Arabidopsis thaliana: one gene and its partners. The protein of the gene in region 1 purifies or fractionates together with the protein of each later gene. This does not show direct contact. Each region holds a gene or a part of one and is shown in the gene's direction. Other genes may lie near its edges.

Region 1 (7,965 bases):
TCCAATCCTAATTTCTTGACTTATTGATGTTGAACTTTGTAATTGTCATCAATACTATCGAAATGCTTGGAAGATATTTTATCATATTTCATTTATAGAAACCCCCTTGTGTTTTAATTAGGCCAAGGGAACCTTCGTACTTCACTTAAGTTAACTACTTTATCACGAAAATCAATTTTTAAAACAATGGGCTGAGAAAAATGTTTAATGACTAAGGCCCAACTATAAGATTTTGGGCCGGATAATATAATCTTCCAAACTCATCGTGTTCGAAGGATATTCTTCAGAATAATGAAATGGACTTTTAACATTTATTACTAGAATCTTATCCGATTTTTCTTTACAACAAAAAAATGAAAAAATATAGGTGTGAATATGATCCACATCAAATTCGGATCCGAAACGAAAGAAATTCCCGGGTCATTGGAGCTCCGTGTTACAAAAAATCTCCAGATTTCTCCATGACTCCAAGGAAAATCTCACAGTTCGCTCTAAAAAAATATTATGTTTGGGAATTCAAAAATCCCAAAGAATCAAAGATTCATCTAATAAACTCTCTCCTCCGTAATCTTCGATGGGTAAAATCTCTGTAAATCGATCACCACCGGAGAAGCCAGAGAAGTCGTCGGAGAAGGAATCAAACCCGAAATTCATCGGAAGCAAATCCAAAAACGAAAAATCATAATCCACCGTCGATGTAGCAACAGATGCAGATGTAGAAGGAGACTCTGGTCGGATCTCGGATCCGGGTACTAAACCCGATTCTTCTTCTCCCTTGACAATGTCTTGGAATGTGTTAGCGAATCTAGCAGCAGCTTCCTGAATCTCCGGAGGCGTCAACGACTTTTCTACGGAGATCGACGGTGGATTATTAGGGAAATTGAAATTAGCATCGCCGCCGCGGAGACAAAATTGAGCGGCGTCGAAAGCACGCGCCGCCTTCTCGGGAGTGTCGTAAGAGCCTAACCAAATTCGTTCTCTGCTGTGTGGAAGTCTGATCTCCGATACCCATTTTCCCCATTTCCTCTTCCTCACTCCTTTGTACTTTGACTGCATCGCCGTGTTTCTCTTCTTCTCCTCTTCCTTCATCGCTTGCTTCACCATTGGATAAAAACTCCGGTTCGGTTCGATTCGGTTTGGTTGAATTGGATTCTGTTTCCGGTTCTTAACTCGAGTTTCAGTTGTGTAGGTTAATTCTGTTATATCTGGTTGATTTCGAATTTGCGGCTGTGTGGGATTTATATATGAAGAAGTGGAAGTGGCAAGTGAGGAAGAAGATCAACGCTGACTGGCGCGTGAAGATGGGACACGTGGCGGATTGTATTGAGTGGCTAACGCGGGAATAGTGAGACTGTTCTGCTTTGTCGTGTTCCTTGTTTTCCACGTGATTTAATTCAACTCTCTTTTGTCTTTTTGCATTATATCTGAATGATTATCTCTATTTGTTTAGGCACGTTTGTTTTAAATACTGAGATTTTCGTCGCGACTTCTGTTTCTAGAATTTTAAGACTACTTCTTCTTTTGTATTTTAGAGATTATTGGGCGTTGAATCGGACACACATAAGTATTGTTATTATAAATGTTTGCATCAATGGTTAGGCTCATGACATTTTTGATGCGGACACTAATTAAGAAGTTAAGAAGCAAGTATATGACTCACTGTTTTGAAGAAAGAAGCGAGTCGTCTGTTGATCATAACTTGAGATTCGTAGAAGAAGAAAGGTGGAACCAAAACAGAAGTTTCATACATGAACACTATTTAGAGCAGTAGCTATCTCTTTTGTTTACGCATTCTGTTTTCCAAATAAGTTAAAAAAAGTTACCTTCTTTTAATCCCACTTCTCAAGATGGAGCAATAATTGAATTGAAGGCCAGTGGCCACTACTAACTTTCATTATACTTTGCTCGAGATAGCCACTACTAATGAACTTGTGACACAACCTTGTGTAAGAACAGTCTCCCTTAGATTCAATAATCAATTTCCATTTTGGGAAAATCGTTTGTTACTATTATTTATTTGTTCAGAACCCACGGAACAGATTGCCCCCAACCCTCCGAGTTACCAACTTTATAGGTTTTCGCTGAGCAACAACATCCCATTAGAACGGTGAAGCTCATCATCATGAGCATGAAGGAGAAGATTCTTGTTGTTGTGGTCGCCATTATCGATCAAAAGATCACAAATTAAGAAAATCGAAGAAGGAAGATTGAGGAATATAAGTCGATGAGTTATTTGAGTATTGATGAGGAAAACAAAGACTATACGAACTCTCTATTTATAAGGTTTACGGAACCTAATCCTTGCCGGTTTAGGATTTTACTCAACGTTTGGAATATATTACATGTTTATTTCCTTTTTCAATTTTGATTCACCTCTTATCTTGCAAAAAAACAAAACAAAAAAGTGACGTTTAAAGATCTCTAATCCTTTTCTAATTAACTTTGTGTATGATTTTTAGTTCTTCTAATTTCTATATATTTTTGTTCATAATATGAAAATTTGATCTCTGTTTTAATTATTTTGGAACTAAATACACATTTTTAATTAGATTAGTAAAAGAGTTATAATTAAAAAAAGTTGATCTGGTTGGTGTCAGCAGAACAAGGAAAAAAGAGAGGCTTTTTCGTTTTGATCCTCCTACTCTTCTTCATTAGTGAAAGCTACTTATAAAGTCCAAATCTTGAAGTGCGTGCACGGTGCACCACGAATCCACGATCCAGTGAGCAGCAGCAACTCCATCTCCGGAGCTCTAGATTCAGATAAGAACAATGGCGATTCCGATGCCTACTCGCCAGCTATTCATCGACGGCGAATGGAGAGAACCCATCTTGAAGAAGCGAATCCCGATCGTTAATCCAGCTACTGAAGAGGTCATTGGTAAGCGCTTTTCTCAAAATCCGCCACAGCTCGATTAGATCCAAGTAAAAATGTATACTTTTGTTTACTTCTTAGTTCGATGTGGAGATATTACTTGCTCCTAACTCTATTCATGACTATCTTTTGCTGTATCGACTACTTTCTTTCCATGAATTTTAGTTGAAGTTGATCCAAGGATTTGTATGTGTTGGATGAGATAGGTGATATTCCTGCAGCTACAACGGAGGACGTGGATGTTGCTGTCAACGCTGCTCGAAGAGCATTATCAAGGAATAAAGGGAAAGATTGGGCCAAAGCACCTGGAGCTGTTCGTGCTAAGTATTTACGTGCTATTGCTGCTAAGGTATTCATTTTATGTTTGTGATTGTGATGCTGTGTTGACAAAGCCTCAGTTTTGTTTGGGCTTTTGTGTAATCAGTTTTAGTCTTCTGTTATCTGATGTGTAGGTAAATGAAAGAAAGACGGATCTGGCAAAGCTCGAGGCGCTTGATTGTGGTAAACCATTGGATGAAGCAGTATGGGATATGGTACTGTTGCTTCCATTTTGTTTTTGTGAAATGTAGGGTTTTCTTTGTAGGTTTGATCTTAAATGTGTTTGTTTGATCTTTTGCAGGATGATGTTGCTGGATGTTTTGAATTTTATGCTGACCTTGCTGAAGGATTAGATGCTAAGCAGAAAGCACCAGTCTCGCTTCCCATGGAGAGTTTTAAGAGTTATGTTCTGAAGCAACCTCTCGGAGTTGTGGGACTTATTACACCATGGTAGCTTTCCTTTTGTGGTTAACTTGTTTGAGTCTATATGGCACCTATTCTATTTTATATGACCAGAAACTGACTCATGGATCTGGTTTGATGTTGAAGGAATTACCCCCTTTTGATGGCTGTTTGGAAGGTGGCTCCTTCCCTTGCTGCAGGGTGCACTGCGATTCTCAAGCCATCAGAGCTGGCATCAGTGTACGTAATTGTGTATAATCTGTTTTGCTCTTATGCTTCTGTATTGGTCCTTATTTGAACACGTCTCATGGTTCTAAATTCAGTACTTGTTTGGAGCTTGCTGATATTTGTCGAGAAGTTGGTCTTCCTCCTGGGGTCCTCAATGTTTTGACTGGTTTCGGTTCGGAAGCTGGTGCTCCTTTGGCATCACATCCTGGCGTGGACAAGGTATTGGTCTTTGAGAATACAGTAAACATAAGTCCCAACAAAATTAACTCTAAAGGCTATGATTAAACATTCAGTTTAACGTCTGCGTTTCTTAAACGCTTCAATGCTAAGTTATGATTTCGTTGCAGATTGCATTTACTGGAAGTTTCGCCACAGGAAGTAAGGTCATGACAGCCGCTGCTCAGTTGGTGAAGGTAATTCCAATTTTTGAACTTTCTGCTGTATATTCCTTCTCCTCCTTTTGTTTCATCACCAATGTCAATGACACATTACTCATGGCATTGTTGCAGCCTGTTTCTATGGAACTTGGTGGGAAGAGCCCTCTCATTGTGTTTGATGACGTTGATCTTGATAAAGGTGAATGTCACAAAAAGTAGTTTAGTGGATTTGGAGTTTTTTTATAATAACTTCTTCTTGTGCTATATTCAAGATAGTACTAATGCTTTTGTTGCTTTGAGACGAGTAGACATGACTTAAATTTGCTTAATCTTAAAATTAAACTCTTTGTATGTTTTGACGCCGGCAAATGATAGCTGCTGAATGGGCTCTTTTCGGTTGCTTCTGGACAAATGGTCAAATCTGCAGTGCAACTTCCCGCCTTCTTGTTCACGTAAGTCCCAATCTTCTACTTGCTTTAAGGTTTTACCTGATCTTCCCAATATGACATGCGAATATTTATTACTGGAGAAGTGAATGTTCCAAGTCATACGGGAAGATGTTTCCATTAAGGTCAATGACAATGACATTTATTTCAGATCAAACCTTCTGGTGGATATGCCAACAGGGATACAATTGCTGACTCTCTTGTCTAAATTTTTTTATTTTATATCTTAGGAAAGCATCGCATCTGAGTTCATAGAGAAGCTTGTAAAATGGAGCAAGAACATTAAAATTTCAGACCCCATGGAAGAAGGATGCAGGCTTGGTCCTGTAGTTAGCAAAGGACAGGTAAAATCCCAGTGATCGTTTTTTCTGTCTTCATATTATTTGTCAATTTCCCATCAGGTTGCAATACAACAACCAGGACTAAAAAGGAAAAGAGAATTGAGTTCTGTAGTATAGTGATTAACTTTTGTCCCTCTAATTCTGAACCGTTTAGCTTTTAGAGCATCAATCAAATCACATCTAGCATATGATATTTCATCACGCTTATCATGTTCTTACTTGGTAGGTGTGCTTTTCTTCTATGATCATATAATCTGATTGAGCTGACAAATGTAAATATTACAGTACGAGAAGATATTGAAGTTTATCTCAACGGCCAAGAGTGAAGGAGCAACGATCTTGCATGGTGGTTCCCGACCTGAGGTATTACATCTCCCTCCCTTACCTATCCTTGATGCAGTTTCTTCCAGACTATGATGATGACCTTTTATATCATATCTATATTTCACAGCATCTGGAAAAGGGCTTCTTCATTGAACCAACCATCATAACTGATGTAACCACTTCAATGCAAATATGGAGAGAAGAAGTTTTCGGGCCTGTTCTTTGCGTGAAAACATTTGCCAGTGAGGACGAGGCAATTGAGCTAGCAAATGACTCTCAGTAAGTTAACGTTTCTCCAGAAAGTGAAATCTGATCAAATCCCATCCGCTGACACTGGTGTTTAAATCAAATTTATCATTTAAGATCTTATGTGGCTGAAAATTATTCATTGATTAATGACAGTTACGGACTAGGAGCTGCAGTGATATCTAATGACACAGAAAGATGTGACCGTATAAGCGAGGTTAGTACCGGTTTCTTGAACCATTCAGATTTGTTTTTAATGCCTAGCAAGTGAAATAACAATACCATCAAATAACACAAACAATTGGTGTCTACTTTGTTAGGCCTTTGAAGCTGGGATTGTCTGGATTAACTGCTCGCAGCCTTGCTTTACCCAAGCCCCATGGGGTGGTGTCAAACGCAGTGGGTTTGGACGAGAACTTGGAGAATGGTACATTTCTTTTTCTATCTCGAATCTTGTTTTTAAAAGACTATATCTTGATGGCTTGTACTGAACAAATCTTGGTTATGGCTGGTTTCTTGCGTGCTTCAGGGGACTTGATAACTACTTGAGTGTGAAGCAAGTGACTCTCTACACTTCAAACGATCCCTGGGGATGGTACAAATCTCCCAACTAAGTAATGAATACATTGTCATGGAAATGGAAACCAAACCAAATGCTGTCTGTTCAAATCTTTGTGCTTTTATTATCAGTCTGTCTAGTTCGGTCCTGAAACTCTTTTGTAAAACCTGTTGAATTTATAATGAATAAAAGATGCTTTGCTGATAATTATTGGTTGTTCTATAAAGGCCAGTATTGAGGCACCATTTTAGGCTCTGGTGCAGCAGTATCAAGAACATGAACCATTTTATGTCACCTTCAAGTCACATCAAAGTTAAAACTCACATGGCAATCAATTCCAAATCATAACTTTTTTTTTTACTATAATTGCTTGAAATAAACATTTTATGAGATCTGAAGATTTGTGGATTTTTTTTCCATTTTTTAAATAGTAAAATGTTTGGCAACCAAATCTGAAAAAGAGGTAAAGACGAGAGGTCTCGCGCTTATCCTTAAAGGACTGTGGTGAATGGTGAGTGTGACTTGGAGGGACCCCATCACCGCAACAATACAGCTTCTTAGATCTCGATAACCACAACTAACCTGTCACAGTTTCGATTAGATCTTCTCAAAAACTTCACCTTTTTTTGTTTTTCCAGTTTCTCAGAGGAGATCTTCCTTCAAAGCTCAAATCCTTTTGTCTGAATTGTGATACTGCTGTCCCCATTTTTCTGCAAGTTGGGAAATTTCTGTCAAAGTTTTGTGGGTCTGTTAAAAAGATCTGAGCTTTGAACATGGGGAGCTCAATGGAGGAGAAAGTGGTGGCTGTGATCATGGTCGGTGGTCCAACCAAAGGTAACCGCTAAATATGTTTGCTTTTTTTCTTTCTTTCTTTCTGATTCCTCCTCAAAAGCAAATGACTGTGAAATCTCGATTGATCAAATCTAATTCCGTTAGATTTTGATATCCAATGCGTTTCTCTCTTGTTTGGTTATTAGTTTCGTGTATCCGAATGATTATGGTTCTGATTCTGTGTAAATATTGGTTATTGAGTGATGCACAGGCACTCGATTTCGGCCATTGTCGCTGAATATTCCAAAGCCTCTGTTTCCTATTGCGGGACAACCAATGGTGCATCATCCAATTTCAGCTTGTAAAAGAGTAATATTCTTCACTCATGATTTCAACAATTCAGATCACTGGAGAGACTGAGAGATGATGATACCAATCCCTTATTGTCTGCAGATTCCAAATTTAGCTCAAATATATCTTGTTGGCTTCTATGAGGAAAGGGAATTTGCACTTTATGTTTCAGCCATCTCTAATGAACTTAAAGTTCCTGTTAGGTTAGTGAATCTCTCCTCTTTTTGCGTTAGCTTCAGCTCAAGTATCAGTGGCTCATTCGTGTAGCTCTGATCTTTCTTCTCTGTTTTTTTTTTTTGGGATTCTGCAAATTAGATATCTGCGAGAAGACAAACCACATGGTTCAGCTGGTGGGCTGTATCACTTTAGAAATCTTATTATGGAAGATAGTCCGGTTAGTCTCCAAGGATCTTACTATATAGAATCATTCTTCTTTTGTGTTTTATGGACTAAATGCTTCTTCTCACATCTGAGTTCCTATATCTACTTCTTGCAGTCTCATATCTTCCTGCTTAACTGTGATGTTTGCTGCAGTTTCCCCTTGCCCAAAATGCTCGGTATATTCTTTTTCATTAATCCAAACCTTGTGAGGTCTCATCTTATGGTTTTGAAGGTCGTTCTTAACTATTGCTACTTTTGATCAACAGAGGCTCACAGGGGATATGGTGGAATTGGAACTCTTCTTGTGATCAAGGTTTGTGATTGTATATGATTAGTCTGGTTTTTGTTT
Region 2 (7,467 bases), on another chromosome or scaffold:
ATTGTTTCATTTCGTGACAGATCTCTACCCTCCTGTTGAAGAGATTGTTGGACAGTGTGGTAAATTCCGCTTATTGGAGAGATTACTTGTTCGGTTATTTGCCAATAATCACAAAGTATGTTTCACAAACCCATGGCTCGTAGCTCATTTCCCTTTGAGAACTTCTCTGATCCATTTGCTGATGACCAGGTCCTTATCTTCTCCCAATGGACGAAACTTTTGGACATTATGGATTACTACTTCAGTGAGAAGGGGTTTGAGGTTTGCAGAATCGATGGCAGTGTGAAGCTGGATGAAAGGAGAAGACAGGTTTCACCTGTGCTTATGCTGCTTTTGCGTTGCTTTTAAGCAATATTCTGACCAAATATTATAACCATAAGGTCTCTCTCTCTCTCTCTTTGCCTTGAAACAGATTAAAGATTTCAGTGATGAGAAGAGCAGCTGTAGTATATTTCTCCTGAGTACCAGAGCTGGAGGACTCGGAATCAATCTTACTGCTGCTGATACATGCATCCTCTATGACAGCGACTGGGTAATCAAATCAATTAATTTATTTTCTTTGAAGGAAAATCTTTCTCTTTCGTGTTGTCTCCAACTGTGTTTTGTCTGATCTCCAGAACCCTCAAATGGACTTGCAAGCCATGGACAGATGCCACAGAATCGGGCAGACGAAACCTGTTCATGTTTATAGGCTTTCCACGGCTCAGTCGATAGAGGTAAAACTCTTTGTTGTTCATATCAATCAATCTTAACTTCAAACCATTGAGATTGTTGCCTCATGAGATTGGTTTATGACATTTGCTCAGACCCGGGTTCTGAAACGAGCGTACAGTAAGCTCAAGCTGGAACATGTGGTTATTGGCCAAGGGCAGTTTCATCAAGAACGTGCCAAGTCTTCAACACCTTTAGAGGTTTTAACTTCTCTTAAAGCTCAATCCTTTTTAGATACACTTATTATCAACAAAATCTCCTATTGACAGCTTGAACCAAACTAACACACAGGAAGAGGACATACTGGCGTTGCTTAAGGAAGATGAAACTGCTGAAGATAAGTTGATACAAACCGATATAAGCGATGCGGATCTTGACAGGTTACTTGACCGGAGTGACCTGACAATTACTGCACCGGGAGAGACACAAGCTGCTGAAGCTTTTCCAGTGAAGGGTCCAGGTTGGGAAGTGGTCCTGCCTAGTTCGGGAGGAATGCTGTCTTCCCTGAACAGTTAGGACACATTAATAAGCCAGGCCTTGAAACCACTTCTGTGTTTTTTTTTTTTTTTTCCGGAACATGATCGGTTACTTTTGGCTGGGAGGATTTAATTATTAGAGGGCTCGGAAGTTTTTGTAAGTTAAAGAACTCACTTAAAACCCTGAAAACATGACAGTTAATGGTGATTAGCTCTCAATGTGATGAAAACAATTGGCCCTCTGATTTTGCTGTTGCGGTAATATTATGACTTGTGTACGTTTATAGTCTTTGTAGTCTGCAATTTTGGCATTGAGCTATTTCTCACGAACTTATGGGATCTTATGTTTTGGATTTGGGATTTGTTAACTTATATGATTAGGCTCAATAGTTTCACAGAATATTAAAAACTTGAGTAGGGTTTAAAAAAGAAGCAAAAAGCTCCGATGCCGGGAATCGAACCCGGGTCTCCTGGGTGAAAGCCAGATATCCTAACCGCTGGACGACATCGGATTTGTTGATGTCTATTCTTGTAAATAGTAAATATTTAGTTTTATCGGTTTTGCATCTAATGGACTAAAACATGAACACGAGACGCCGACAAGAATGAATGGGGCAGGCACCAAACATTTGGGTAAAAGTATGCAGTGGGGTATTATTGACAATTTGACCATTACAAGAGCTAATCTTAGGGGGTTTTAGTTAGTAAAGCAAACCCGGTTTAGGAGTAAATATGGAGTGAGAATAGGGGTAATTAAGGGAATTTAAGAGAAGTCATCATCGTTTTCCATTTTTCTTATTTTAAGCGCCTCGGTGGCTATCTCTCACTCCGTTCGCGTCTTCCTCTTAAAGGAAACCTCCTCTACGCGAAATTCGTATTCTCTCATTTCTTCTACGGAGATTTGCATCGAAGAAACTGACTCGCTTGTGGAATCAACAACAAGACGATGTGGCGCTGCGTCTCTCGTGGCTTTCGAGCTCCTGCTTCAAAGACCTCTTCACTCTTTGATGGCGTCTCTGGATCTCGCTTTTCCAGATTCTTCTCCACTGGTTCTGTATGATCTCTCTTCCTTCTCCTTCCGTTTTGTTTATTTTCTAATTCGATCTTATGTAATTCACGAATCATAGTTTTATCCGCCATTCAAATGCGTTAGTAGTCGAGCAAATTGTTGAAAATCGGGGAAAATTTTGATCGATTTGTTTTGTGGTGTTTATTTTGGTTATCTGTTGAGTAGACCGATACGAGATCCTCTTATACGATAGTGGATCACACTTATGATGCGGTTGTGGTGGGAGCTGGTGGTGCTGGTCTTAGGGCGGCGATTGGGTTATCGGAGCATGGCTTTAACACCGCTTGCATTACTAAGCTTTTCCCCACAAGGTCACATACTGTTGCTGCTCAGGTATTTTTCGTTACTAATCTCCTTATACTGTCGATTTTTAAATATAGTTTTGTTTCTTTTTGATTGAGATTATGTTGTCGAAAAAACTGTCAAGGGTGGTATTAATGCTGCACTGGGAAATATGTCCGAAGATGACTGGAGATGGCACATGTATGACACTGTCAAAGGAAGTGACTGGCTAGGTAATCTTAGTCTTCCTTTTGTTTCTTCTCTTTTTTTAGTGAAATGTTTTTTTTTGCTTTTTGTAGCTCTTATGTGATGTGGTTTAGTGAATTGATTAGTGAGTTCTTTCTTGTTTATTTCTTTGTGTAGGTGATCAAGATGCTATCCAGTACATGTGTAGAGAGGCACCAAAAGCAGTCATTGAACTTGAGAATTATGGGCTGCCTTTCTCTCGTACTGAAGAAGGGAAAATTTACCAGCGTGCATTTGGTGGTCAGAGTCTTGACTTTGGAAAAGGTGAGTTGTCTGATGTCTTGCTATTATTGATATTCCTATTTACTTTGTTTTTTAATAGGTCTCTCATATTGGCTTTCCTATTTTTCTGCTTCAGGTGGTCAGGCCTATCGTTGTGCTTGTGCTGCGGATAGGACTGGTCATGCTCTGTTGCATACTCTCTATGGACAAGCTATGAAGCATAACACACAGTTCTTTGTTGAATACTTCGCCTTGGATCTGCTCATGGCTAGTGATGGTAAGTTAATCAAAGTTATTCTCCTTTTACTGTCGCTTCTATTAGTATTTGCCAATTTGGTGGAGGGGTGATGTCAGTAGAATTCAGAACTAGTAGTTGATTTTATGAGGTGGTTGGATGGATCTTATTGATCGATTTAAGGGAAAGCGACTTTGAAGTTAATGCAACATTTCTATCTGATATGCAGGCAGTTGCCAGGGTGTAATTGCACTAAACATGGAAGATGGAACATTGCATCGTTTCCGTTCTTCTCAAACAATTTTGGCAACTGGGGTGAGCTAGTTTCTATATGATACGATTTTTTGCAATAACGAAAATATGCTCACCTGGTGGCTAATGTTTTTCCAGGGGTACGGCAGAGCATACTTCTCTGCAACCTCAGCACATACATGCACAGGGGATGGAAATGCAATGGTTGCACGGGCCGGTCTTCCACTGCAGGTTTTCCACCTGTTTCGTTTTTATTCAAAATTGTGTATGATGTATTTGTCTGTAATTTGTATGCTAATAATCTTATATTTAATAAATTTATGCAGGACTTGGAGTTTGTTCAATTCCATCCAACTGGTATATATGGGGCCGGATGTCTCATCACCGAAGGTTAGTATCATGTTCTCACATACTCGAATTTGTTTGCAATATAAAATTTAATGTGTTTTTCACAAAAAAAATTTGGTGTTTAAACAATTGCAGGATCTCGAGGTGAAGGTGGTATCCTTAGAAACAGTGAAGGTGAACGTTTTATGGAACGATATGCTCCTACAGCCAAGGATCTTGCATCAAGAGATGTTGTCTCCAGATCCATGACTATGGAAATCAGGGAAGGTCGTGGTGTAGGTATGTTCCACTGAAAACTACTTCTTATTTTCAGAGTGAACTCTCATTACATGATATGCTTTGATATTGTGATCAGTCTAGTTTGATTCTCACCCTGGACAACTTTTTGCTGATATCTTCCAGGACCGCATAAGGATCATATCTATCTCCATCTGAATCATCTTCCTCCAGAAGTTCTAAAAGAAAGGCTTCCTGGAATCTCTGAGACCGCTGCCATCTTTGCTGGTGTTGATGTTACCAAAGAGCCAATTCCTGTCTTACCCACGGTTCATTATAACATGGGTGGTATCCCAACAAACTACCATGGCGAGGTAAGAATAAGAAAAGTCATTTAAGAAACTTTGCTGAAATTTGTGTGGAGTTAAGCATGAGATGGATTAGAAGCCTAGCTCTGAAAGTTATTCTGTTAAATCCTGCAGGTAGTTACCATCAAAGGCGATGATCCAGATGCAGTGATTCCTGGGCTAATGGCTGCTGGGGAGGCAGCTTGTGCATCTGTTCATGGTGCCAACAGGCTTGGTGCAAATTCACTGCTCGACATTGTCGTATTTGGTCGTGCTTGTGCAAATAGGGTTGCAGAGATAAGCAAACCAGGTTAGTCTTTTTTGAGGACTGCTGTTATTATAAAAGATAAGTCTCTTCTGATCATTTTTTTTTCTTTATTCGATTGGTGCAGGGGAGAAACAGAAACCTCTTGAGAAGGATGCGGGTGAGAAGACTATTGCATGGCTGGACAGGTTGAGAAACTCAAACGGGTCTCTACCTACTTCAACTATCAGATTGAACATGCAGAGGATTATGCAGAACAACGCAGCTGTGTTCCGCACGCAAGAAACATTGGAAGAAGGTAAACAGTGATCTGAACTTGTTCTGCATTTATTTAATTCTCTCACCTGCAACTGCAATCCATTTTCTTTACAATTTATTACCGTGAAACAATCACAGGTTGTCAGTTGATTGACAAGGCCTGGGAAAGTTTTGGGGACGTCCAGGTGAAAGATCGGAGTATGATATGGTAAGACAGACTCTATTCACATGGGATTGATTATCACACTGTTATAAAATCTGGTGAACTCTTGTTAATCTTGGAAACTATGAATAAAATGCAGGAACTCGGATTTGATAGAGACATTGGAACTGGAGAACCTTTTGATAAACGCATCCATAACAATGCATTCAGCAGAAGCACGAAAGGAAAGCAGAGGAGCACATGCTCGGGAAGACTTCACGGTTTGATTCCTTGCTCAGCTTTTCCACAATGATTGATTATCCCATAATGATGAAACCATAACGTAGTATAAATGAATGCGTGTGTATGCAGAAAAGAGAGGATGGAGAATGGATGAAGCATACATTGGGATATTGGGAAGATGAGAAAGTGAGATTGGATTATAGGCCTGTTCACATGGACACTCTCGACGATGAGATCGACACTTTCCCTCCCAAAGCTCGTGTCTATTGATCGAGCCCATGTTTTTATTTTATCTGTTATCGGAATAATAATAATAATCAGGAACCCCCCAAAAAAAGGGAATTAGGAGAAGAAGACGGAGTTATGAGCTGATGGAGCACAAAGGACTGTTCTGAAACTGGGTTTACGTTTTACACCAGAAACGATGAAAATAAATTGATAGAAAGAGGAAAAAACACTACAATTCTTATTTTCTTTATCAGTTCCTGAAATTGTTACATTCTTTGTTACCTGTTAATTACGCCTTGGTGATATTCATTTTTTTTTTTTAAATCAAAATGTTCGAATTCCGTATCGACCGTGAAAGTTATTTTGCGGTGATAATAGGTATCAGAACACGAGATACAATTTTGAGTTGTGACCATTAGAAAAACAAAATTTGGGTTGTTTTTTCTTGTCTGAACAAAATTTTATTTTAGGTAAATTCGGATCAGTCAAGGCATTTTTTAGGCCTACAAGTGGGGGTAATTTCAAATATTTTTGTTCAATATTTGCGTATCTGAGCGAGTTTTAGATTGGTCCGATCGTCGTCGCTAGATGATAATGTTGGCCGTAGAAAATGTGACCTTTATAATGTATCTCTCTTTAAAAGTCGTCCACTTGCTTATGGCGTATACTAAAAAAGTGCTCTTCCACATATGCAAATTGAAGATACAGTCGGTGAATGTAAATACAAAAATGATCTATGATTACGACCTTGAAGCTTAGAAACTAGCCCCACACCAATTCGACTAATTATGTAGTTCAATATTACACTAACCAACCATAAGATATTATATTTTTCCGCATGCGTGTGTGTTATTCCTAATTAGAACCAATCGATAACAAAATTAGAAAGCTCCACACAAATTAAACTAAACCAGTCGACTTCACCAACCAACCTTATCTATTAACCTGCTCATTTCACATTTAACAATTCCAAAACCCAATCAATTATAGTTAATTAAAAAATTTCGACACAAAGCTGACTTAGCAATGCCTAAAACGCAACGTATGAAAGAGAAATCGAGGAATGTCGTAATTAAATTGTCTAATCTTCATCTAACCTTGTCAATAAAGTAGGGTTTTTACTCACTCATACACCTTTCTTTTTCTTATCCTTATCTTAAAGTAAAAAATCTTTTTCAAATTTACTTTGACCGGTTACGGAACTTATGCTTAATGGGGGAAGATTCATATATATATATATAGACATACAAAACTTATTAGAATATATGGAGTTTTACCCGGAAAAAAAAACTCATTAGAATAAAAACTAATTCTTGTTGTTATTTACTTTTTACACAATGAATTTAACCAAATTGTAGAGAAATTACCTTATCTACTGCTTTTATGTTAATATAGTTCATAAGAAATCTGAAAAACACTATGCACCTAGTGCTGTATATTCAGAGACTGTTGTATGTTTTATGTAAAAACTGAAAGAGAGATGTGTAAGAAGTGGGTCACCAAAGTGAAGTGAGTGACATTTTGACGTGGAGACAAAGGTGCAGTGCAACACAAAAGAGAGGTTAGTCGAAAAGCCAGAGAGATTAAAACGTTGTTTTTTGCATATTTTTCTTTCCCACTCACTTTTTTTTATATAAAAAAACACATTTGCAAATTATCATTTATAAAAAGAAAATACTTTAACTATATCCTTCTTTATTTTCTGTTCAACCAAAATACTTTAAATATCCAACACAAACTCACATTTTAATTTTTGGTGATCGTTGCACTTAGTATGGTTGTTGCACACATTAGAAAAACTAAATTCTATAGGATTCAATTGTTCTAAAATTCTAATTATATATGTGAAAAGATGAAAAGCTGTCAGATTATATTTCCCTTACTGTATGTGTTACTATTAAAAACACTCCAGATTATTTTTTTTAAA
Region 3 (6,628 bases), 910 kb from region 1:
ATTATTGTCATCTAGCTGAGACATCTTCAGATTCAAACGTTTGGCCAGAGCTTTTGATGATTTTGCGCCATAAAGCTCAGGGGAATCTAAAGAGACTCCTTTGCAAAGACAAAGAAGCCTTCGTAGTACATGCGAACCATAGCAGTTGCACATCATATCAAGAGGATTATCCACAATCACCTGACCAGGGGAAATATTTCACCATCAAAATTGAGGTCAATTACTAGACTAGAAGCAATAATCTGGATACCTTAATATGATTGTCAAAGCCAGTAAAAATTGTATAAAGTACCTTGCATATAGAATGCAAAGCCTCCTCAATAACAGAATAGGCGTCTGGATTTTCTAGATGTGTGGCCAAGGATTTGAGAGCAGACTCTGCGACATGAGAACCAGATCTATCCATTGCAATGGCTGGGAACACACTAGCAGAATTTCGTATGAAACTGCAGAGTTGGTCAAGTTCACATCCCTCAAGTAGAGTTTGCAAGACATGACTTATGATATAGTCTGTAGCAATTTCATACTCCCTCCCTCTTGTTTCTTCAAGGGCATTTCCACATATTACTGAACGTTCCTCTAATTCAACTTCATTACTATCAAAGAGATTGGCAATCTCAGAGAAATACTTTGAAGTCTCTGGATCAATCTCTTTCCTGAAAAAGATACACCCAAATCACTACCACTTCTCACAACAACAAAATTTCGACTATAAATTAGAGCAAAGGCCCTTGGTTAAAAATCTCCTTTACCTGACAAATTGATTCTGATGTTCGAATTCGGAGTGTTTCTTTGATGCTGGCTTTACATTGGGGGCACCACCGGATTGGTTCTTCTTGCTGCTATCTACATCAAATCCACGGTTACCCTTATGGTCCTTCCTACGCATTCCCTTATTCCTTTCACTGTGATTGTTACTAGACTTTCCTCGTTCACCCATCAAGCTATCTTCCTCAATGGTCCTGTGCCTCCTAGATGGCAATGATTTAGAACCAACAGAAACCATGAAAATTCCTAGCCCCAACTATGTTAAACCCTACAAAATTTACACACAAAAAAACTCAGCTTCGAAGAACTATTAGTCCCAAATTACACAATATAACAAAAAAGGGAAAGGTTCAATTTTTTCTCCAAATTTACAGACCCCAAAAATTAGGGTTTCTACCTCTACTTCAAAACGATACCATAACTGGGTTGAATAACCTAAAACATAACAATAAATTCCGAGTCCCAATTCTAAGACTTTACACTAATCCATGTGAAGCTTGTACAAAAGAACAGAAACAATAAGGTGTATCACAAACCTTTGAGGATGCAAAAACACAGTTGACGTTAGAGGAGAAACGAACAAGCGTGAGCTCAGACTAAGAACGCGGCGCAGAGACAAAACGACGTCGTCTCCGAAACTCTTGGTATACGTTGGATCAAAATCTTCGATGTTTTGACGTTGTACAAATTTTCTAATTCCTAGGGTTTTATTCTCGTCCAACCTAATACGATATCGTTTTGTTGACGTGGATATAAACAAATAATGGGCTTTAAATCACGATTTTACCGACCTTTTTAGGGCCCAATTATGTAGCCCAAAAAAAACCTCATCGTTAGCAATGTGCTGCTACATGTTGTTGTGATTTATTTAAATTTAGAGATTTCTAAAAATTTATAACTTTCAAATTAGCTGTAGGTTTTATAAGTATCTATTTATCCCCAAATTAGATTACGACTGTGATTGGATTATTCAATTTTGGTCCTTTTGGATAATTAAGTCAACGGAAGATAGACTTCAGACATCTTTTTTTGATAAAAGACATGTCTTTTTTTGGGATTAGTCGTGTGTTTAACAGATAAATCAACAAAATTAGCCGCCTAAAAAAAACCCCTACAAATATCTTCATCAATTAGATTTTCGAAAAGAAAAAACGAAAAAGCAATTTCTGAGCGTGGAGGACAAGGCAAAATTCGGTGTGCAAGGCACTGGATATTGGGACCCTTGTTTCCTCGTGAGAGAATTTTCAATCCTAGGGCTTAAAGAGCACGTTCCTAGTATAAAGCTGATTCACAGATGCGGAGATTCTTGATTAACCAAGCTAAAGGTCTCGTCGACCATTCTCGTCGTCAACATCACCACAAAAGTCCAAGCTTTCTCTCTCCTCAACCTCGTCCCCTTGCTTCTTCTCCTCCTGCTCTGTCTCGTTTCTTCTCTTCTACTTCGGAGATGTCTGCTTCTGATTCCACTTCTTCTCTTCCCGTTACTCTTGACTCCATCAATCCCAAGGTCGGTTTCTAATTCTCTAGCTGGTTTATTGCGTTTTTGAATTGTGGGTTTCAGGGTTGATCTGGATTTGTTTCTAATTTAGTAAAAAAGTTTCAATTTTTTACTGTGGTTGTCTGATTTAACGCCAAAGGTTTATCCTTTGCTTCTCGTTGTGATTCCCAACGATGAAATCGACAAGCTTTGCATAACTTCTTTGTACTTTATATTACAGAGAAGTTGGTTTTATTGTTAACTAAGAGTTTTTTTTCTTTTCCGGGGAACAGGTTCTGAAATGTGAGTATGCTGTTCGAGGAGAAATTGTCAACATTGCTCAGGTCAGAGATGCATGTGCTTTGTCTTGTAAAACCAAGAACAAAATCTGTAAAATTGTTTTTAATGCTAATTGATTTTTGTTTGCTTTTTGCTTCCATCTTACAGAAGTTACAAGAAGACTTGAAGACTAATAAGGATGCTTATCCCTTTGATGAGGTAAAATCTCTTTCTTTATCGGCAGTTTTGACGGATTTATGATTAGTTTAGTGTTGATGTTACCTGTTCTCAAACTCTTTGTGCAAGGAACTTAGAATTCTTCATTACTTTTGGCAGATAATCTATTGCAACATTGGGAATCCTCAATCTCTTGGTCAGCTGCCTATAAAGTTCTTCCGTGAGGTAAGTGAATGTTTTTGGTACTAGTTTGGTTGTCATATCAGCCACAGAGATATAACGTCTATCATCTATATGCCTCAGGTTCTCGCATTGTGTGACCACGCAAGTCTTTTGGATGAGTCTGAAACCCATGGTTTGTTCAGGTGAGGTTTTCCTTGCTATATTTCAGCTTTAGGACATGTATGCTCACGGTTTAAGATTGCTTAACATTTGATTTCTACTCTGCTATCAGTACCGATTCAATTGACCGAGCATGGAGGATTTTGGACCATATTCCCGGAAGAGCAACTGGGGCTTACAGTCATAGCCAGGTTTGTTATTAGAGTCTAGTTAAAAGTCCTAAACCCTTTCTTGAGATGGTTCTTATGTTGCTGAATGTTTCATTTTTTGTTCTGCCTCAGGGTATCAAGGGTTTACGTGATGTAATTGCAGCTGGAATCGAAGCACGTGATGGTTTCCCTGCTGATCCAAATGATATTTTCTTGACTGATGGTGCAAGTCCAGCGGTAACAATCAAAACGAAAACGTTATCTCATAGAGTTAGAGTAAGTTCTTTTAAAGGATTCATGCTAAGTGTTTTTGGTGTTTTTTACTCTATAGGTTCACATGATGATGCAACTTCTCTTGAGCTCAGAGAAAGATGGTATTCTTTCCCCGATTCCTCAGTATCCATTGTACTCGGCTTCAATTGCCCTTCATGGTGGATCTTTGGTATGTTCATATAATCATCATGGAGTAATGTTGTTTTTTGGTACAAGTTTTTGAAATTTGTACTTCTTAGGTTCCGTACTATCTTGATGAAGCAACAGGATGGGGACTGGAAATATCTGACCTTAAGAAGCAACTAGAGGAAGCTAGGTCCAAGGGCATCTCTGTAAGGGCCTTGGTTGTCATAAACCCCGGTAACCCAACTGGGCAGGTACAAACAGATTTTCAAGACTAGCCTAACAAAATGTAACATTCTTCTAATCTTGCGTTCTTATTCTGGTTAGGTTCTTGCGGAAGAAAACCAGCGTGACATTGTTAATTTCTGCAAGCAAGAGGGTTTGGTTCTTTTAGCTGATGAAGTCTACCAAGAAAATGTTTACGTCCCTGACAAAAAGTTCCATTCTTTCAAGAAAGTGGCTCGGTCTTTGGGCTATGGAGAAAAAGATATCTCGTTAGTCTCGTTCCAATCAGTCTCCAAAGGTAAAAGAACAACTTTTACTGTCCAATGCTTGTCATCTAAAAAATGGGGTTTTTGTTTTTAATATTCTTCTGTTGATAGGATATTATGGAGAATGTGGAAAAAGAGGAGGTTACATGGAGGTTACTGGATTCACTTCTGATGTAAGAGAACAGATATACAAAATGGCTTCTGTGAATCTTTGTTCTAACATCTCTGGTCAAATTCTTGCTAGCCTTGTCATGAGCCCACCCAAGGTAACACCCTAGTTCTCTCTAATCGGTTTTCGCTAAGTTCTTGCAACAGATTATGACTAAAAAGTCTAATATTGTATTTGATCAGCCTGGTGATGACTCATATGACTCATACATGGCAGAAAGAGATGGAATTCTCTCATCCATGGCTAAACGTGCAAAGGTTAGTCGAAGATTACAATACCCTCTAACGACATTTTTCAGTCTCTTTGTATATAATGTCACAAGCTTGAAAATGAACTTGCAGACTTTGGAAGACGCTCTCAACAGTTTAGAAGGTGTTACATGTAACAGAGCCGAAGGAGCAATGTATCTCTTCCCGCGAATTAACCTTCCTCAAAAGGCTATCGAAGCTGCTGAGGCTGAAAAAACTGCACCAGATGCGTTCTACTGCAAACGCCTTCTCAATGCTACTGGTGTAGTTGTAGTCCCTGGTTCTGGCTTTGGACAGGTAAAATATAACCAAATCTTCATAACTTTAAATGTCTTACAAAAGGATCGAACTTGAATAATGGGTTTTGGATTCATTGTGGTTTAGGTTCCTGGAACATGGCACTTTAGATGCACAATACTTCCACAAGAAGACAAGATTCCAGCGATAGTGAATCGTCTGACAGAGTTCCACAAGAGCTTCATGGACGAGTTCCGCAACTAAAAGGACCTGACCATGAAGATGAACTTAAAGACCCTTTTGAAGAAAAGTGTGATCAGTTTGAGTTATTAAAAAAAAGAAAACTTGTGTTTTGAATTTGATCAGGCAATTGTGATCAGCTAATTTAATTTTAGAATATTTTGTACTTCCATTCCATGGCATGTCATATGAAGATATGAAAATTAGTAAATTTATTGGGCTTATAAATGGGCCTTATATTATTAATGGGCCTTATATTTATTTTTCATATGATATTTCTGGAGAAAGCGACAGTATATTATCTTCAATTTTTCCATTTTGAAGAATTTTCTCAAGAAAAAAAAAAATCAATGTGGAGAAGATCACCGTCGTTTATTCTCGACGAGCGACGAAGCTCGAATTCACCTCCAATGGCGGATACAACACGAGGTCCTTTTCAAAACCCTGATTCCATCTCCGCTTATTACCAAACTCGCGCGGCGCATCACGGTGTCATTACAAGCGACTGGCTAGCCCAAGCTCAAGCCGCCGTTGGCGGCGTCTCAGGCGATGCCCAGCATGACTTATCCGTAACTGATCTCGGGAACGAGAAGTCGTTTAATGTAATTGAAGAGTTCAATAACTGGAGAAAACAACCGGATCTGGCTGAAGCCGTCGCGGCTATACGAGCTTTGGCTGCTGTTATTCGTGCGAGCGAAGCGAGCACCATGATGGAGCTTGAAATTGAGCTCAAAAAGGCTTCTGATACACTCAAGGTGAGAATTCATTTTTCACTTTCTGTTCATTCTTCGATTTTGTGGGCTTTGTTGATTTAAGAAATGTTCAAATTTTGGCAGTCGTGGGACAAAACGTCGATCTCTTTGACAGCTGGATGCGATTTGTTTATCAGATACGTTACGAGAACGTCTGCTTTGGAATATGAAGATTTCAATTCAGCTAAGTCTCGTCTTCTTGAACGTGCTGAGAAATTTGGGGAAATATCTTGCAAGGTACTTCCTTTTATGGCTTCTGGCTCATATTTAGTAGTTTTTGTACATATATCAATGAAGTAGATCAATTAGTATTTGATAGAAGAGGGTTTATAAAGGTTTGGTTATTGCGCAGGCTCGTAGGATTATCGCAATGCTTAGTCAAGATTTTATATTCGATGGTTGTACCATATTGGTTCATGGACTCTCTAGAGTTGTTCTGGAAATACTTAAGACTGCTGCACAAAACAACAAGCTCTTTCGAGTTCTCTGCACAGGTTCGCTTAAACAACAAGCTTAGATTGGAACTTGAGTTGTATCCGCTTAATGTTTCTTGGTTTCTCTGAGACATTTTTGTTGCATAGTCTTGACCTTATAAACCCTGTCTCTTTATGATTTTGTTGTATTAGTAGCCTCTCGCTAACTTTTTTTGGTGAAAAAATGATAGAGGGGAGGCCGGATGGAACAGGAGTTCTGTTATCGAGTGAGCTATCGAAGCTCGATATCCCAGTGAAACTACTGCTTGATTCAGCTGTGGCGTATAGTATGGACGAGGTAGACATGGTGTTTGTCGGGGCGGATGGAGTTGTAGAAAGTGGCGGTATTATCAACATGATGGGAACATACCAAATCGCACTTGTGGCACACAGCATGAACAAACCGGTCTATGTTGCTGCTGAGAGTTAC

What was found.
Region 2: the proteins of ALDH10A8 (region 1) and SDH1-1 fractionate together in Arabidopsis thaliana (co-fractionation; one large-scale study listed by BioGRID). This does not show direct contact.
Region 3: the proteins of ALDH10A8 (region 1) and ALAAT2 fractionate together in Arabidopsis thaliana (co-fractionation; one large-scale study listed by BioGRID). This does not show direct contact.

The regions. Positions count from the first base shown.
Region 1 is NC_003070.9:28,137,378-28,145,342, reverse strand, and holds ALDH10A8 (aldehyde dehydrogenase 10A8), read left to right. Parts: upstream 1-2,505; 5' UTR 2,506-2,769; coding exon 2,770-2,878; intron 2,879-3,078; coding exon 3,079-3,221; intron 3,222-3,324; coding exon 3,325-3,405; intron 3,406-3,491; coding exon 3,492-3,640; intron 3,641-3,739; coding exon 3,740-3,832; intron 3,833-3,915; coding exon 3,916-4,039; intron 4,040-4,167; coding exon 4,168-4,233; intron 4,234-4,329; coding exon 4,330-4,396; intron 4,397-4,572; coding exon 4,573-4,649; intron 4,650-4,873; coding exon 4,874-4,987; intron 4,988-5,269; coding exon 5,270-5,347; intron 5,348-5,435; coding exon 5,436-5,587; intron 5,588-5,710; coding exon 5,711-5,771; intron 5,772-5,874; coding exon 5,875-5,981; intron 5,982-6,083; coding exon 6,084-6,168; 3' UTR 6,169-6,346; downstream 6,347-7,965. Other genes in the region: ORA47 (Integrase-type DNA-binding superfamily protein), read right to left, coding at 517-1,104; AT1G74929 (uncharacterized protein), read left to right, coding at 1,245-1,346; AT1G74910 (ADP-glucose pyrophosphorylase family protein), read left to right, coding at 6,887-6,947, 7,156-7,253, 7,338-7,438, 7,551-7,629, 7,732-7,792, 7,883-7,929. UniProt on the Arabidopsis thaliana protein: Dehydrogenase that catalyzes the oxidation of several aminoaldehydes. Metabolizes and detoxifies aldehyde products of polyamine degradation to non-toxic amino acids.
Region 2 is NC_003076.8:26,651,643-26,659,109, forward strand, and holds SDH1-1 (succinate dehydrogenase 1-1), read left to right. Parts: upstream 1-1,964; 5' UTR 1,965-2,133; coding exon 2,134-2,241; intron 2,242-2,421; coding exon 2,422-2,589; intron 2,590-2,683; coding exon 2,684-2,771; intron 2,772-2,901; coding exon 2,902-3,048; intron 3,049-3,142; coding exon 3,143-3,283; intron 3,284-3,470; coding exon 3,471-3,556; intron 3,557-3,631; coding exon 3,632-3,724; intron 3,725-3,819; coding exon 3,820-3,883; intron 3,884-3,976; coding exon 3,977-4,120; intron 4,121-4,243; coding exon 4,244-4,431; intron 4,432-4,539; coding exon 4,540-4,714; intron 4,715-4,796; coding exon 4,797-4,967; intron 4,968-5,065; coding exon 5,066-5,135; intron 5,136-5,229; coding exon 5,230-5,350; intron 5,351-5,441; coding exon 5,442-5,582; 3' UTR 5,583-6,054; downstream 6,055-7,467. Other genes in the region: CHR1 (chromatin remodeling 1), read left to right, coding at 21-115, 190-309, 413-532, 618-716, 807-911, 1,003-1,227. UniProt on the Arabidopsis thaliana protein: Flavoprotein (FP) subunit of succinate dehydrogenase (SDH) that is involved in complex II of the mitochondrial electron transport chain and is responsible for transferring electrons from succinate to ubiquinone (coenzyme Q).
Region 3 is NC_003070.9:27,231,575-27,238,202, forward strand, and holds ALAAT2 (alanine aminotransferase 2), read left to right. Parts: upstream 1-1,900; 5' UTR 1,901-2,062; coding exon 2,063-2,275; intron 2,276-2,538; coding exon 2,539-2,589; intron 2,590-2,692; coding exon 2,693-2,743; intron 2,744-2,860; coding exon 2,861-2,926; intron 2,927-3,004; coding exon 3,005-3,066; intron 3,067-3,155; coding exon 3,156-3,234; intron 3,235-3,324; coding exon 3,325-3,468; intron 3,469-3,523; coding exon 3,524-3,634; intron 3,635-3,704; coding exon 3,705-3,842; intron 3,843-3,915; coding exon 3,916-4,111; intron 4,112-4,190; coding exon 4,191-4,345; intron 4,346-4,430; coding exon 4,431-4,505; intron 4,506-4,589; coding exon 4,590-4,793; intron 4,794-4,880; coding exon 4,881-4,997; 3' UTR 4,998-5,215; downstream 5,216-6,628. Other genes in the region: PUM23 (pumilio 23), read right to left, coding at 1-180, 293-656, 753-1,006; AT1G72340 (NagB/RpiA/CoA transferase-like superfamily protein), read left to right, coding at 5,243-5,728, 5,810-5,962, 6,078-6,219, 6,390-6,628.